2 linked regions of the Stegostoma tigrinum genome follow. The protein of the gene in region 2 interacts with the protein of the main gene of each other region in a pairwise test. Links are inferred from orthologs where the notes say so. Each region holds a gene or a part of one and is shown on either strand. Other genes may lie near its edges.

Region 1 (7,076 bases), on a different chromosome or scaffold from region 2:
TTTTTACTGATGCAGGACGATATTTACATACAGTTGAGGCACCAAGATGGTCTGATAGCTGAACAGATCCCCATTGTGCTTTGGCAGAAAGACCTCACATGGTGGTCTTTCTCCACTGCACCCTGGAGGTAGCTGCCCCAAGCTTTAGTGTGTCCCTCAGCACACAGTCCTGGACCTTAGAACGTGCCAATCTGCAACACTGTCGAGGTCAGCTCTTTATCCTGGAAGACCAACAAGTTTCAGACAGACCAAAGAGCATCATCCACTGAGTTGATGGTCTTCCAAGCACAATTGATGATTGAACCTTTCCACTACCTCTTCAAAAACTCAGTAAGTTTGTTAAATATGAGTTGTCCTTTAGAAATCTGTCCTCACTCTTACTAATCAGCCCACCTTATACTATGTGATTACTAATTCTATCCCGATAATTGTTCCCAAAGGTTTCCCCACTGGCAAAGTTAATTTAACCGTCCATAATTGCAGAGTTTATCCTTGCAACCTTTCTTGAACAAGGTTGTAAGGTTTCAATTCTCCAGACTTCTGGCATCTCCCCCTCTTCTAGGAAAGACTGAATGGTTATGGCCAATGTAATTTATACCCTCACTTGCCTCAAAATCCTTGAATACATTTAATTTGGCCTTGGTGCTTTGTCAATCCTAAGTGCTAATAATCTATCCAAGACTTCTATCTTATTAATTTTGTATCTTAATGACAAAGTTTTCTCCTCTATCTCCGTGGCTTGGGCAGCATCCTCCTGCTCTGTAAATATTAATTTAACACCTCTGCCTCCGTGCATAAATTTCCTTTATAGGTCTAATGAACCCCACCTCTCGGTACCAGTTTCAGGTTTTTTTTTCTCTCAGGTTTCCAGCTTCTGCATTATTTTGGTTTTGTTTTGGAGCTGCCCCATTGATTCACCAACCACTAACTGGCCTTTGGGTCCGATCACTCTGTTATGGGATAACCCAATCTAGATTTTAACACATGCCTAAAGATTGGTAACTTTTTAAATCCTTCCTCAATCCTATTTAATTTGAATTTCTGAAGTCTATGCAGGACACCTTGCTTTTGCAAGACTTGACAGTGTTTTGTATATTTGACAGACTCTAGGCTGTGAGAGTGTTGCATCATGGGGGTTGGGCTAAGGATTGTGGAGGATTTAGAGCCAAACAAAATTCATTACTGACAGCATCCATTATCACCATTGTATCAGAAAGGGAAGCCTGTTGATCGTTGAGCTTCTGTCTTTACTGTATAATTGCTGATCTGTTATTAATTCACATGGTAGCACTTTTTCTATTCTTCAGTGTTTCTTTCATGATTCATTCCTATGATGTGGGTGTTGCTAGCTGGACCAGCATTTATTGCCCAACCCTAATTGTTCTGAAGTAGCTGGCTCTACCAGTCTCCCAGGCTGTGAGTTCCAGATTCCCACCACCAACTGGGTGAAAAAAATCTTTCCTCACATCCTTTCTTAATGTCCTGCTCCTTACCTTAAATTTATGCCACCAGTCATTGATTCCTCCCCCCCCCGCCAAAGAAAAAACTTTCTCCCTTTCTGCCCTATCAATGCTTTTCATCATTTTACATTCTCAATCATGCCCCCCACTCAGTCCCCTCTGCTCCAAGGAAAACAACCCCAGTCTTTCCAATCTCTCTTTATAACTTGGTATGCTCTGTCCAAGAGTATAAGAAATTACAGAGAATTGTGAACACAGCACAGTCCATCCAGCCTTCCATCCATTAACTCTGTCTATCCATCCCACTGTCTCAGGAAAGCAACCATCATAACCAAAGATTCCTCCCACCCCAGTTATACTCTCTTTCACCCTCTTCGATTGTGGAGAAGATACAAAAGTTTGAAAACATGTACCAACAGATTTAAGAACAGCTTATTCCCTGCTGTTATCAGACTTACGAACAGAGCTCTCATATTAAAGTTAATCTTTCTCTGTAGAGGTAACACTATTCTATATTCTGTTCTATTACCATTATGTACATATGTAAAGTACCATTTGTCTGCTTAGCACTCAAAACAATACTTTTCCCTGTGTCTCGGTACAAGTGAGAAGAAATCAAATCAAATCAAATCAAATAAATTAACGTAATTCTACCATAACTGAATAACAAAATCGACTTGTTGGGCTGAATGGCCTACTTTGCTCCTTTGTGATCAAGATGGTGGCAGCGGAGTAGCCTACTTCCAGGCTCCTGAGCCCAGGTCTTGTCCACTCTGTCTACTTTCCATTTTTTTCCCCTACTTTTCTCATTTTCTTTCTTCTTTTTAGCTTTTGTTTCTACGTACCTTCTGGGGAGAGCTCAGTCATGGCAGCATCAGCAAGAACAGCATTGATGAGAAAGGGAGCTACTTTGGGGCCCAGGCTGTGGAGGCAGCTGGTGAATGTGGAATGGGACCCTGGCGGATGGCGGCGAGGAGGCAGCTGGCAGACGGGCAAGCATGGGACCCGGCCATTGCCTGCTACATTGGCAGATGCAGCGGAGAAATGTGGCACCTGAGGAGCGGTGACTTCAACGTTGGTTGGGAATGGTACTGGCAGCAGCAAAGCAGTGGCAGAAGGGTTAGGGTCTCTCTGTAAGTCATATCTTTTAAAGTTTTTAATAGTCTTAAACTGTTCAAAATGGCACCGGATCATGGCAACAGTGGAAGCTATTCACTGTATCTTTCACTGTAAACACACATGACAATAAAACCATTCATTCATTCATATGTCTTATCATCTGATATGTTATTCTCATTGTACATCACATTGTTAAATTTTCCAAACATTGTAAATTGTCCCAAGATGCTTCAAAGGAGAGTAAACAGACCAGGTTTGTCGATGAGAAATGTCTCAGGAGATGCAGGAGGAAATGACCAGAACTTGTGGATAAAAAGCATTTTAAAGGATGAGACAGAGTTGGAGAGATAGAAAGGTTTTGGACTGATGTTATGGTCTAGGCAACTGACATTTTCGCTCCCAGCTCCCTAATTAAAATCGGGGCAGTGCCAGAGGTCAAAGTTGTCATTGCCTGGCATTTTGTGGCCCAAATTTTATTTGCTGTTTCCTAGCCCAAGCCTAGATTTTGCCCAGGTCTTGATGTATTTGAACCTGGACTGCTCCATTTTCTAAGAAGTCATGAATGGTACTGAAACATTGTGCAATTATCAGTAAACAATTCCACTTTCAATCTTAGAATGGAACGATTTTTATTTATGCAGTAAGTTCCCTTCCCACTCCCCATTCCTGAAGAAATGTCCTGACTGGAAGTATCAACTTTCCTGCTCCTCTGATGCTGCCTGGCCAGCTATGTTCCTCCATCTCCACACTGTAACCTTTATCTTTCTGCTTTAAGTGATAGTTTATTTACAGTGACTAATTAGGGATGGAATGTTAGTGACTGGCATCTATTTAGAAACCTACCACCTCAATGAGTTTTGCAACATAAAAGCCAATAAATTGAAGAGCTCAGTCAACTTTGATCTTTCAGAATTGAAGTTAATTAGAATGTGCAAGCAAATTACAAAGAGTGCTATTTGGAAATATTTGAGAGGGAGCAAACAGGACAGCCAAAGTTGCTCGCTGGGATATAGACTAGAGATCAGCGAAGAGACTGGTTTGTGAGATATAGGGAGGGAATTGAGAGAGAATTGTTCATTGTGGCTGAGTGTAAGGGGTAGAAGGGGTGTAGGGGATAGGGTTAGGATTAGCCTGTTAGGGGTGGTAAAGGCAGAAACCGTCGTAACATTTAAGAAATATTCGGACATAGTCTTGCAAATATATGGACCAGTGCTGAAAAATGGGATTTAAATCCCAAAAACAGAAGTTGCTTGGATAAGCTCAGCAGGTCTGGCAGCATCTGTGAGGAAAAAAAAATCAAGAGTTAAGGTTTCGTGTCCGGTGACCCTTTAGATACATGCCTGTTTTTGACCTATGCAGATTCAATGGGCTATTGGGTCTTTTTTCTGTGCGGTGGATCTGAGTGAGTGAGTAGGCTCACAGCTAGTACATTCACTAGAGAGCGACGGAGAGACTGGAGTGTGAGATATAGGCAAAGAATTGTTAATTGTGGTGAGGCGGCTGTAGCTGGGATTCACACTAGAGTGCAGTAGAGAGAGTGGTGTGCATATTATATCTATATATAGTGAGAGAGAGGAGTCAGCCGTTCTGAAAGCTGCCCGAGCGAAGGGGAAGGCAATGGCCGGCTCGGGCGAGAGGAACAGACAGCAGACGATTGAAGAGTACCTGGAAGCGGCCGTACAGGTGGCTCTGGAAGCCGGCCAGGTGAATGACAGGCTGGGGGAGTAACTCAATTAATGTAACCGGAGCTGATCCAGGCATGAGATGTCTTTATAATGGCACTTTATGGCCGGAGAGGCCGCTGCTGATAAAACAAAAGTGGGTTTGATAGTTTCATTGAAGTGAGTATTGGATTTTTAACCCAGCGAAACAGGATCTAGTGCTGTATAATCATCTGGTAGGCCAAGGAAGTGGGGGATGGGGAGTTGATTAAAGAAAATGTAATTGTTATTAATAGGCAAAGACATTTCCAATTCAGTTGCTGTATGAGGGAGCCCAGTTTTAATGTTTCTCCTCTAAGCCATGACTGCACGGATTGTCAGACCCATAGCCAGCCTGGGAATGAGTGGGCAGGCGATTCAAACATTTAAAAAAACGTTAAGGAGGTACAGCTTTCTTGGTTGTAAGCCCCGCAACAAAAACCGTGAAAGCTGCTTCCGCTACCAGTCATCTCAAACGTGCTGAGAAATCCCCAGTCACTGTCAGAATGAATGTCAGAGAGACCTTGAAATTAACCTGCAGCCCCCCCTGCAGTTCATGTTCCAGATTTCAACCTCCTGCACAAACCCCACCAGCATGGTACGGTTATTGAAGTCTGTAGGAAGATTCGACTCCCCATGGTGGGATTTTCACTCTTCCTGAAGAGCATTGGAGGGCGGGGGGGTGGGGATGAGGAAATTACAAGGATATCTGAGGGGTCACGGCTAGAAGGATCGGCCTCGCCATTTTACAAAAGCTTAAGGGTGTTTTTTTAATGATGGGGGTTTGCTATGCAGGGCCATGCCTACTCGTGTGGAAATGCCCCTAACTGTTAGAAATAGCAAGTGGTTACCTTTAACTTGTGTGGGGAATTCATGGGAACGGCTGCAGCGTGAATCTGCTCTCACAAGGAGTGGCCTATGTAAATATCCAGGGGCAAGGTACGTGGCGGAGGGAAGAAGACAGAAGTGTCGTAGGAATGGAGAGGGTGCAAGAGAAATAAGACCAGGCAGAAGGCTCGTGTGAAACACACATTTTCTGGATTAACACTGGATTTGCCCCTTCTCATTTCCACTTCCTCCTGTAATCCTGTGCGGTTTACTTCGCAATCTTCTCATTTAATTGGTTTAGGAGGAGCACTACTGCTTCCAACTGTTCTCTCAGGTCCCAGATCCCCAGCTCTTTTCAGCCAATAGAAGTGGGGAGGTGGTATGTTTTGTGATAATGGGAACTGCGGGTGCTGAAGAATCCAAGATAACAAGATGTTGCTGGGCCTGTTGTGTTCATCCAGCTTCACACTTTGTTATCTTAGGTGCTATGATTTGAAGGATTGTTAATCCAGAAAACTCAGCTGGTGTTCTGGGTACCTGTGTTTGAATCCTGCCACAGCAGATGGTGGAATTTGAATTCAATTAAAAATCTAGAATTAAGAGTCTAGTGATGACCGTGAATCCAATGTCAGTTGGAAAACCCACCTGGTTCTTTAGGAAACTGCTACCCTTTATGTGGCCTACATGTGACTCCTAAACCACAACCAAAGCCACTGTAGCTTCAGTCTTAAGTAACAGGAAACAACTGTTTACAATATGTGTTAATGACTTGGAGGAAGGAAGTGAAAGTTCTGTAACCAAATGTAACCTTCTGGACATTTAGGGATGGGCGATGAAAGCTGGCTCAGCCAGTGATGCCCATACCCCATGAATGCATTTTTAAAAAAAACTGAAAGGGCTGCAGATTCTGAATATCAGAAACAAAAACAGAAATTGCTGGAAAAGCTCAGCAGGTCTGAAGCTTTAAGAAAACTTTAAGAATCCTATATATTTCAATAAGGTCGCATCTCATTCTTCTACATTTCAAGGAGTAGAACCCCAACCTGTGGAGAGAAATCAAAGTTAACTATTCCGGTCCAGTGACCCTTCCTGAGAAAACTGGAGTAGTTGTATTCAGTATCAAATCAGGATGAAAGCGAGTCCGAGGGAGGAAAGCAATTCTATTAAGACAGGAGGAAAGTGATAGAAAGAAAAGGTAATTCTTATTAAAAGTTTAGTGTTCCATTTAAAGAAACACAACAACAGCGAAAACCTATGTCACATGTGTAGCTTATTCAATGCAGAGAGGTTGGCTGGTAATAATTAAGGTGTCACACCATTAAAATTGTAGATGTTCATTTTAGCCTGAGGCCTAAACTTTGGGACGACAGTTGTTTATCCACTGTACACATACAGCAATCTTATGCTGTTCATTGCCTCTCAAGCTCAAGTCAGATAGTGAGTTGAAAACAGAAGGAATTGCAGAAACTTGGCAGTTCTGGAAACATCTGTGCAGTGAGAGAATGGAGTTCATATTTTGAGACCAGTATCACTTCAGAGAGTGAGTTTTTTTTGTGACACAAATGAGAGGCACATCTCAGACAACCTTAGTGAATTGGATCTGCCCACATCCAAAGCCACCAGTGCTTCAGCCATAAGTAACAGCAAGCAACTGTTTACAATATATATTAATAACTTGGAGGAAGGAAGTGAAGGTATTGTCATCAAATTTGTAGATGATGCAGAAATATGTGGAAAGACAAGTTATGAGAGGGATACAAACACTTTATAAAGAGATATTGATAAGTGGGCAAAAAGTTGGTGAATGGATTATAAGGGTGGAAAGTGCAAGCTTGTTCATTTTGTAAAAGAGAACAGTATTACTTAAATGGAAAAACTGCAGAAAACTGCATCACAAAGGGACTTGGGAGGACTTGTGTACAAAACTCAGAAAGCTAACACACAAGATCATAAACAGGAGCAGGAGTAG
Region 2 (6,868 bases):
AAGACAGACAGGTCAAGGAGGAGGGATGAGGTTAGTAGGTAGGAGATGGAAGTGCGGCTTGGGGTGGGAGGAAGGGATGGGTGAGAGGAAGAACAGGTTAGGGAGGCAGAGACAGGGTGGACTGGTTTTGGGATGCAGTGGGTGAAGGGGAAGAGCTGGGCTAGTTGTGTGGTGCAGCGGGGGGAGGGGACGAACTGGGCTGGTTTTGGGATGCAGTGGGGGAAGGGGAGATTTTGAAGCTGGTGAAGTCCACATCGATACCATTGGGCTGCAGGGTTCCCAAGCGGAATATGAGTTGCTGTTCCTGCAACCTTCGGAAAATCTCAACTTTTCAAAAGTACATCAATGTGCAATTGAAAGGTCCTAACATTCAAGGCTATAAGTCAAATGCTGGAAAGTGGGATTCGGTGCCGACTTGATAGGCCAGAGACCTCTTCTGTGCTACATGACCAGGAGCTATGAGCATTTCCCAACTGCCAATTACAAGTAGCTACAAAGACTGCAGTCTATTGACAGAAACAGCAGATCTGGTATATTAAGATTTTAAAAAGGCCTTTGAAAATTTGCTCTGAAGTCAAATCACTGATAAAACAAAGGCACACGGTACAAAATGGAATTTGTGTGGAGGATATTGCTTGAAAAATACATACGTTCTGTCCCTAATTGTCCATAATGCTTCCATTAATGTATTTATATTTCCAATTAAATGGAACAAGCTATGGCAATTTGGAAATCTACAAAGCAGCTGATCTTGCACAGTAAGGCAAAGTAACTGGGATGTACAAAATTAAGACATCACAACGTTAATCTGGTAACAAGTTGTAATTGCAGCTAGATTCTTCATTTTACTCAATCATTCTATTGCTTTCTCCATTGTGTGCTCATCTCATGACCCTTGAAATGCACTAAAGTCAGTGTTTCAATTACTGTGGTATGGCAGCAAATTCCATTTTCCAAACTTTTGCATGAAAATTCGTGTGTTTACATTAAAAATAGAAACTGACTAAAATGTAACAGACTAAGATTTTAGACCTAAATCGATTGCTTTCAATTTGTAGCCACAAACAGGGGAATTTTAAACTTAACCCATTAGCAGGATTTTGACAAACCAGACAAGCTATCTACATTTCACCACAAAGATAAGGAAATACTGTTTATAGATGTTGCAACTCGAGAGTTTGCTCAAAGCTGTTGTTTTGTGTCAGCAAACAAAAACAGCAAAACAGAATATTGAGGTTTTGCATCAGTGGTAGGTTTCCTAATTTAAGCAGCTATTGCGTGACTTACTGATATCCGACGTTGTTTGTTCTCACTGTGACATAAACATTTAGCAAAAGCAAAAAGAAATTCACAGCTGCTATCAAGTACCAAACTTAGATTTATAACAACGTTTCTCACTTCAGTACTTGGTTCAAAGTCAGGGTGTGAGAGCGGTCCTGAACGCTCAAGGAACTTCCTCACGTGATTCCAGCGACCTTCCCAGTCTCCAGTGTCCCCATACCCACCATCAACAGCCATTCTGCACAGAACACAATAAACTCAACTAGAGATTTAGTTTTCACAACACAGCATAATTATTAGAAATATTATTTAAGAGAACTACTTGTCTTAGACATTCTCAAAAGTAGTATTTACATTTCTTTAAAGATGGAGACTGAATGAGCCTCAAACAACTCTAATTTTACTTTAGTATTACAAGGCCTCAAATCAGACAAAGAATCTCTCAGATGGGGAATTTTCAGCAATCTCAACACCAAAACGTAAACATAACATTTAATCATAACTTTAGCGAGTTACACAACGACCGAAATACAGATTTACCCCAATTAAAACTGGTGCAAACATCCTTTCTTGGAATAGTTGTTAAATTTTACAAGCAGCACTGACACCAGCTAAAATTAAAGTGTAAATTATTTTCACTGAATTTGCAATTCCCCACAACCTCCTAACAAGGGATAGTTCTAATGTGCTGTAGCATAGACAAGGGAAAGAAAATAGAAAAACAAACTACTGATTGTAACTTTACAAGCTACAATCAAAGATGAGTATGCAAGCAAAACATTTGTCATGGGCGCCCAGTATAACATAAAGGAGCAGGATTGAAAAGGAGCCAAAATACATACAGTACTATATCAAAATTAGGGACTTTCTAATCGAATTGAAAAGACATGGGATTGTTACCTTGAACCATTTTTATACGGGTATTCAGTTAGGACCTATAATATTTCTTTCTTACATTTCAGTAATATTACAAGGGTCAGAAATTTCAAAAAATGCTGCATATTATAGAAGAGGAGATTATTTGGTGCTGAGAAGCAACACATAGAATCGACTTCTAAAAATGTAAACATAACATTTAATCACAACTTTAGCGAGTTAGACAACGACTGAAATACAGATTTACCCCAATTAAAACTGGTTATGCGTTAATCAGGTCTCCTATACAAATGATGCAAAACACAACTGGGAGTTTTTAGCTGTCAATTTAGTTCATGTCACGTCAATTTAGTTCATGTCACGTCAATTTAATTCACGCCAATGAATAAATGTTTAATAAGGCTATTTAATGTTTTAACACTTATTGCAATCCCAACAGATTTCCTCCTCCTTTAAAAAATATATTCCTATTCCTCCAAGCAGTTAATTCCCGAGTTTAGGACGAATAAGGATGCAGGTTGAGGCCGCACTGATCCCACTGCTCGGAGCTGCAGCTCATAACAAGCCTCCAGCCTCAGACCTCGCAAGCAGAAAATCAGGGCCGCTAAATTCATTCAACACTAACTTGTCAGTGTGCTCTTCTACTTTCCTTCTTTTCTTCTCCCTAAAAAAAAGAGAGAATAAAAGAAGGTTCAGACATGCTCACCCGAGAGAAGAACGAGCAGAAGTCAATGCGAGAGAGGCCTGAGCGGCCGGAGTTCACGCAGAGATACTCACGGCTCCGGTACATCCGCCATATTTTCCTGCTCCCATCAGCCAGCGCAGCCACGGCTGGGACGGTCCATTGCCGCCGACCAATCATGACATCCCACAATCCCAGCGGCCAATCCTTTCTCCATCCCCCCAAGACAACTGGCTGTCAGGGAGTGACGTCATCATTTGCCTTTGGACAGCCTGCAGTTTGGGTTGTCAGTGACTGGTGGTCAGACCTTGCTGTTAAGTGGATCAAAGTTGATTCTGCAGTACTCCAAGGTTAGCAAAGAGACAAAAAAAAATTCAAGATTGCACGTTAGTGAAGTTCATTGTCGCTGCTGTTGTTCGGATCACGGCTGTCATTGGCAGATGTTAAACAGCAGCTCAAGTGTCTGTACTTTTAACACAGATTGTTGCATAATGTGGAGGATAGGAAAATGCTCAGTAAAATCATTGTGTTTGTTTGTAGCTAGTCAAAAGGAACCCAAAACGTTGGGATTTAGAAATCAAATTTGGGGGATGCTCAATCTGTATTTGGGTCAGTGAGGTTGCATTTTGACTGCCATGTTCATTTTTAGTCTCTATATTGCAGGAACAATGCAGAATTTTTGAGTGAGATGAAGAGGTTGGCAATATGAGACACTTATAAACTCAGACAATTGAATTATGAGTAAAAGATCTTTATTCAGGGACATTGATTTGGATTTGAGAATTTAAGAATTGAGATAGCCATTGCTATGCAAAATTTAGGTTCTGGAAATGCCTTTGAGAAATGACATCGGTATTAAAGTCATCAGAAATATCTGTTTTATATAGATTCCCTACAGCATGGAAACAGGCCCTTCGGCCCAACAAATCCACATCGCCCCTTGAAGCATCCCACCCAGACCCATCCCCTTATAACCCACACACCCCTCAACACTACAGGCAATTTAATGGCCAATCCACCTAGCCTGCACATCTTTGGCCTATGGGAATAAACTGGAGCACTGGGAGAACGTACAGACTCCACACAGACAGTCGCCTGAGGCTGGACTCAAACCTGGGTCCCTGCTGCAGTGTTAACCACTGAGCCACCGTGCTGCTCTAGCCATAGCAGATGACCAATTAAACTTAAATATCCCCAAAACAAATACCCAACTCCAATCAATAATATCATTAATAGAATGCTCCATATCCTGCTTTGCCCACCAATCATGGTGTCTATTAGTTTTATCAAACTGATGTTAGACTAATTGACCTGTAAAATTCAAGGCGCTCTCTCTGTTTTAAACAGAACTTAGTGTTTTGCTTGACTCTCACTCCACCCATGTGCTAGTCTTATAAACAGAGCAATTGGTTTAATTGAGCAATTTGTCTGCAGACAGCATGTTTCATTCAGTTTCCCGCTCAGAATTCCAGAGGTCACACTTCACTTTATTACAACCTACATGATTAATATTTCTAGTGAAATTTGTGAATTAAAAACAAAGCAGCTGAGACAAGCAAAAATGCTGACAATTCAAAGATTAGAAATATCCCAATGTTACAGTTATTCCCATTTTTGTCCCCACTCTGTGTGGACTGCAGTGTCTTTAAACAGCAGTGGCTAAATAAGGACATAATCGCAAAACCCTGCTGATCTGGAGGAATACATTACTGTGTGTCTGTGTACCAGGCTGTCACAAATATGGTGTAACCACCACAGCTTCCACCACTGTCAGAGATATTCCTACCAACTACCCAACATTGCTGCTTCTTCAGGATGGGTGGAATTCTGCTGTAGGCAGGAGTTCATGATCTCACAAAATTATTGCAAACTTTTGCATTTCAAGGCCAGTTGCATAATTAGATTGAAATGGAAATGTGCGAGGGGGTAGGATTGGGAGGAACAATGACTTTGGCTACAATTGTGGCATTGTTTTAAAACTATTTACTATCTTCTTTGCTCAGGGCAAAGCCACCAATTTTTGTCCCCTACTGTTGATTTGTTCAGCACACAGAACTACATGACAACTCTGCTTTTAGAAAGCTAAAGAGCAAAAAATAGTGGCTTTGCCCTGAGCAAAGTAAATAGTTTTAGAACAATGCCACAGTTGTAGCCAAAGTCACTGTTTCTTCCAATCCTGTCCCCTCAGCACATTTCCATTTCAATCTAATTATGCCACTCGCCTTGAAATGCAAAAGCTTTCGTGCTCCTAAGGTGCTGCTTTGCCTTCTGTGTTCATCCAGCTCCACACCTTGTTATCTCATATAATTTGCAAGGTAGATTGAGAAACAACTTTGAAAGCATAGAACTGTGTTTACCTGTAAGGAGAAAGTATGTCACATTTAACCAAAGCAGTTAATTTCAAGAACTCATCAGTGAAACTTGTACAAAATTGGTCTGTAAAAAAACTATAAATGTTCTTTTTGTTGACATTGAATAATTCTGTAGAATCTCCCACGGGACAAGATGGTGACACGGTGGTGATATTATTGCATCAGTAATCCAGAGGCAGCAACTGGTGGAATTTAAGTTCAATACAAAAATTTGGAATGCTGAAAAAAATCCACTAGTCTCAGTAATGTACCTATCATTGATTGTTTTAAAAATATGTTTGATTCACTAAAGCCCTTTAGGGAAGCAAATCTGCCATCTTTAACTAGTCTAGTCTGCATGAAACTCCAGACCAAAGCAAGACTCTTTAGTGCCTTCTGAAATGGCCTGGCATACAATTAGGAATGGGCAACAAATGCTGACCTTGGCAGTGATGCTTGCATCCCAGGGAAGAATAAAGAAGAAAAACACAGAAAATGGAAAATTTGAATCTTAAAGCCCAAAACTAATCTGTACAGCATTAGGATATATGTATTTTACGTCAGACATTTAATACCATCATTCATTTGTGAGAAATGGATGAGTTGCCAATTTTGTTAAAGTAGGAGACAAAGTAATATCAAATGTGCAAGAAGTTTTGGCATGCTAATGTTTATACAATAGGATAGTAGAAATTGACAGACGAATAATAGCCCAAGTTTGTTTTGTCTCCGAGTTTAGTTCTGAGTTCTCCCCCATTCAAGTGCAAATTGATTAAAATGAAATACTTTGATGTAGTCTGCACTATCTAATCCATCTGTATGTGTGGAGTTTGCACATTCTCCCATGTCTGCATGGGTTTCCTCTAGGTGCTTTGGTTTCCTCCCGCAGTCCAAAGATGTGCAGGTTAGGTGGAGTGGCCATGCTAAATTACCCATAGTGTCCAGGGATATCTGGTTGGGGCAATTAGCCATGGGAAAAGCAGGATCTGAAGTGTGGGTGAGATCCTATTTGGAGGGTGGTGTGGACTCGATGGGCCAAATAGCCTGCTTCCACACTGTAGAGATTCAGAGATATTACTATATTTCCTTGTATTTTTCAGGGATACATTGCATAATTGACATAATTGCTCCACATAATTTTATGCTCCAAATTTTAATGGAGATTGCAGGACAGCATGCTAGGACTGGTGCCAGTCAAACCTAAAAATGAGATATCAACCTGAAGAAGCTACAAACTACTTTCTCACCAAACTGTATAAACAGCAAGTGATAGACAGAGCTAAGCAATTCCACTACCAACAGATCAAATCTGCAGTCCTGCTAAACCCAGGCTTGAATGGTGGTGAACAACTCACTAGAGAAGACTTAACAAATACATCCAACGTCAATGATGTAAGAATGAAAAACATGACAAATACAATTAGCACTCCATCAGTCTACTCTCAATAAAGTGATGGAAGGTGTCATCAACAGTGCACTCAAGCAGCACTTGCTTAGCAATAACCTGCTATTTGACAGTCAGTTTGAGTTCCAACAGGACCGTTCACCGCCTGACCTCATTACTGCTTTGGTTCAAACGTAGATAAAAGAGCTGAATTCTACAGGTGAGGTGAGAGTGACTGTCTTTGGCTTCAAGGCTGCATTTGACCCAAGTGTGGCATTAAAGACCCTAGCAAAA

What was found. The genes of interacting proteins can lie anywhere in the genome.
Region 1: the proteins of uba3 (region 2) and impa2 interact in binary tests that used the Homo sapiens proteins (3 or more experiments, as listed by UniProt). The two-hybrid records come from large-scale screens. The link is inferred for Stegostoma tigrinum from reciprocal best matches to the Homo sapiens genes UBA3 and IMPA2.

The regions. Positions count from the first base shown.
Region 1 is NC_081358.1:117,128,299-117,135,374, forward strand, and holds the start of impa2 (inositol monophosphatase 2), read left to right. Parts: upstream 1-4,072; 5' UTR 4,073-4,196; coding exon 4,197-4,283; intron 4,284-7,076. UniProt on the Homo sapiens protein: Phosphatase that can use myo-inositol monophosphates, myo-inositol 1,4-diphosphate, scyllo-inositol-1,4-diphosphate, glucose-1-phosphate, beta-glycerophosphate and 2'-AMP as substrates in vitro.
Region 2 is NC_081364.1:43,406,291-43,413,158, reverse strand, and holds the start of uba3 (NEDD8-activating enzyme E1 catalytic subunit), read right to left. Parts: upstream 3,008-6,868; 5' UTR 2,955-3,007; coding exon 2,935-2,954; exon of another isoform or gene 2,864-2,934; intron 2,822-2,863; coding exon 2,783-2,821; intron 1,520-2,782; coding exon 1,399-1,519; intron 1-1,398. UniProt on the Homo sapiens protein: Catalytic subunit of the dimeric UBA3-NAE1 E1 enzyme. E1 activates NEDD8 by first adenylating its C-terminal glycine residue with ATP, thereafter linking this residue to the side chain of the catalytic cysteine, yielding a NEDD8-UBA3 thioester and free AMP.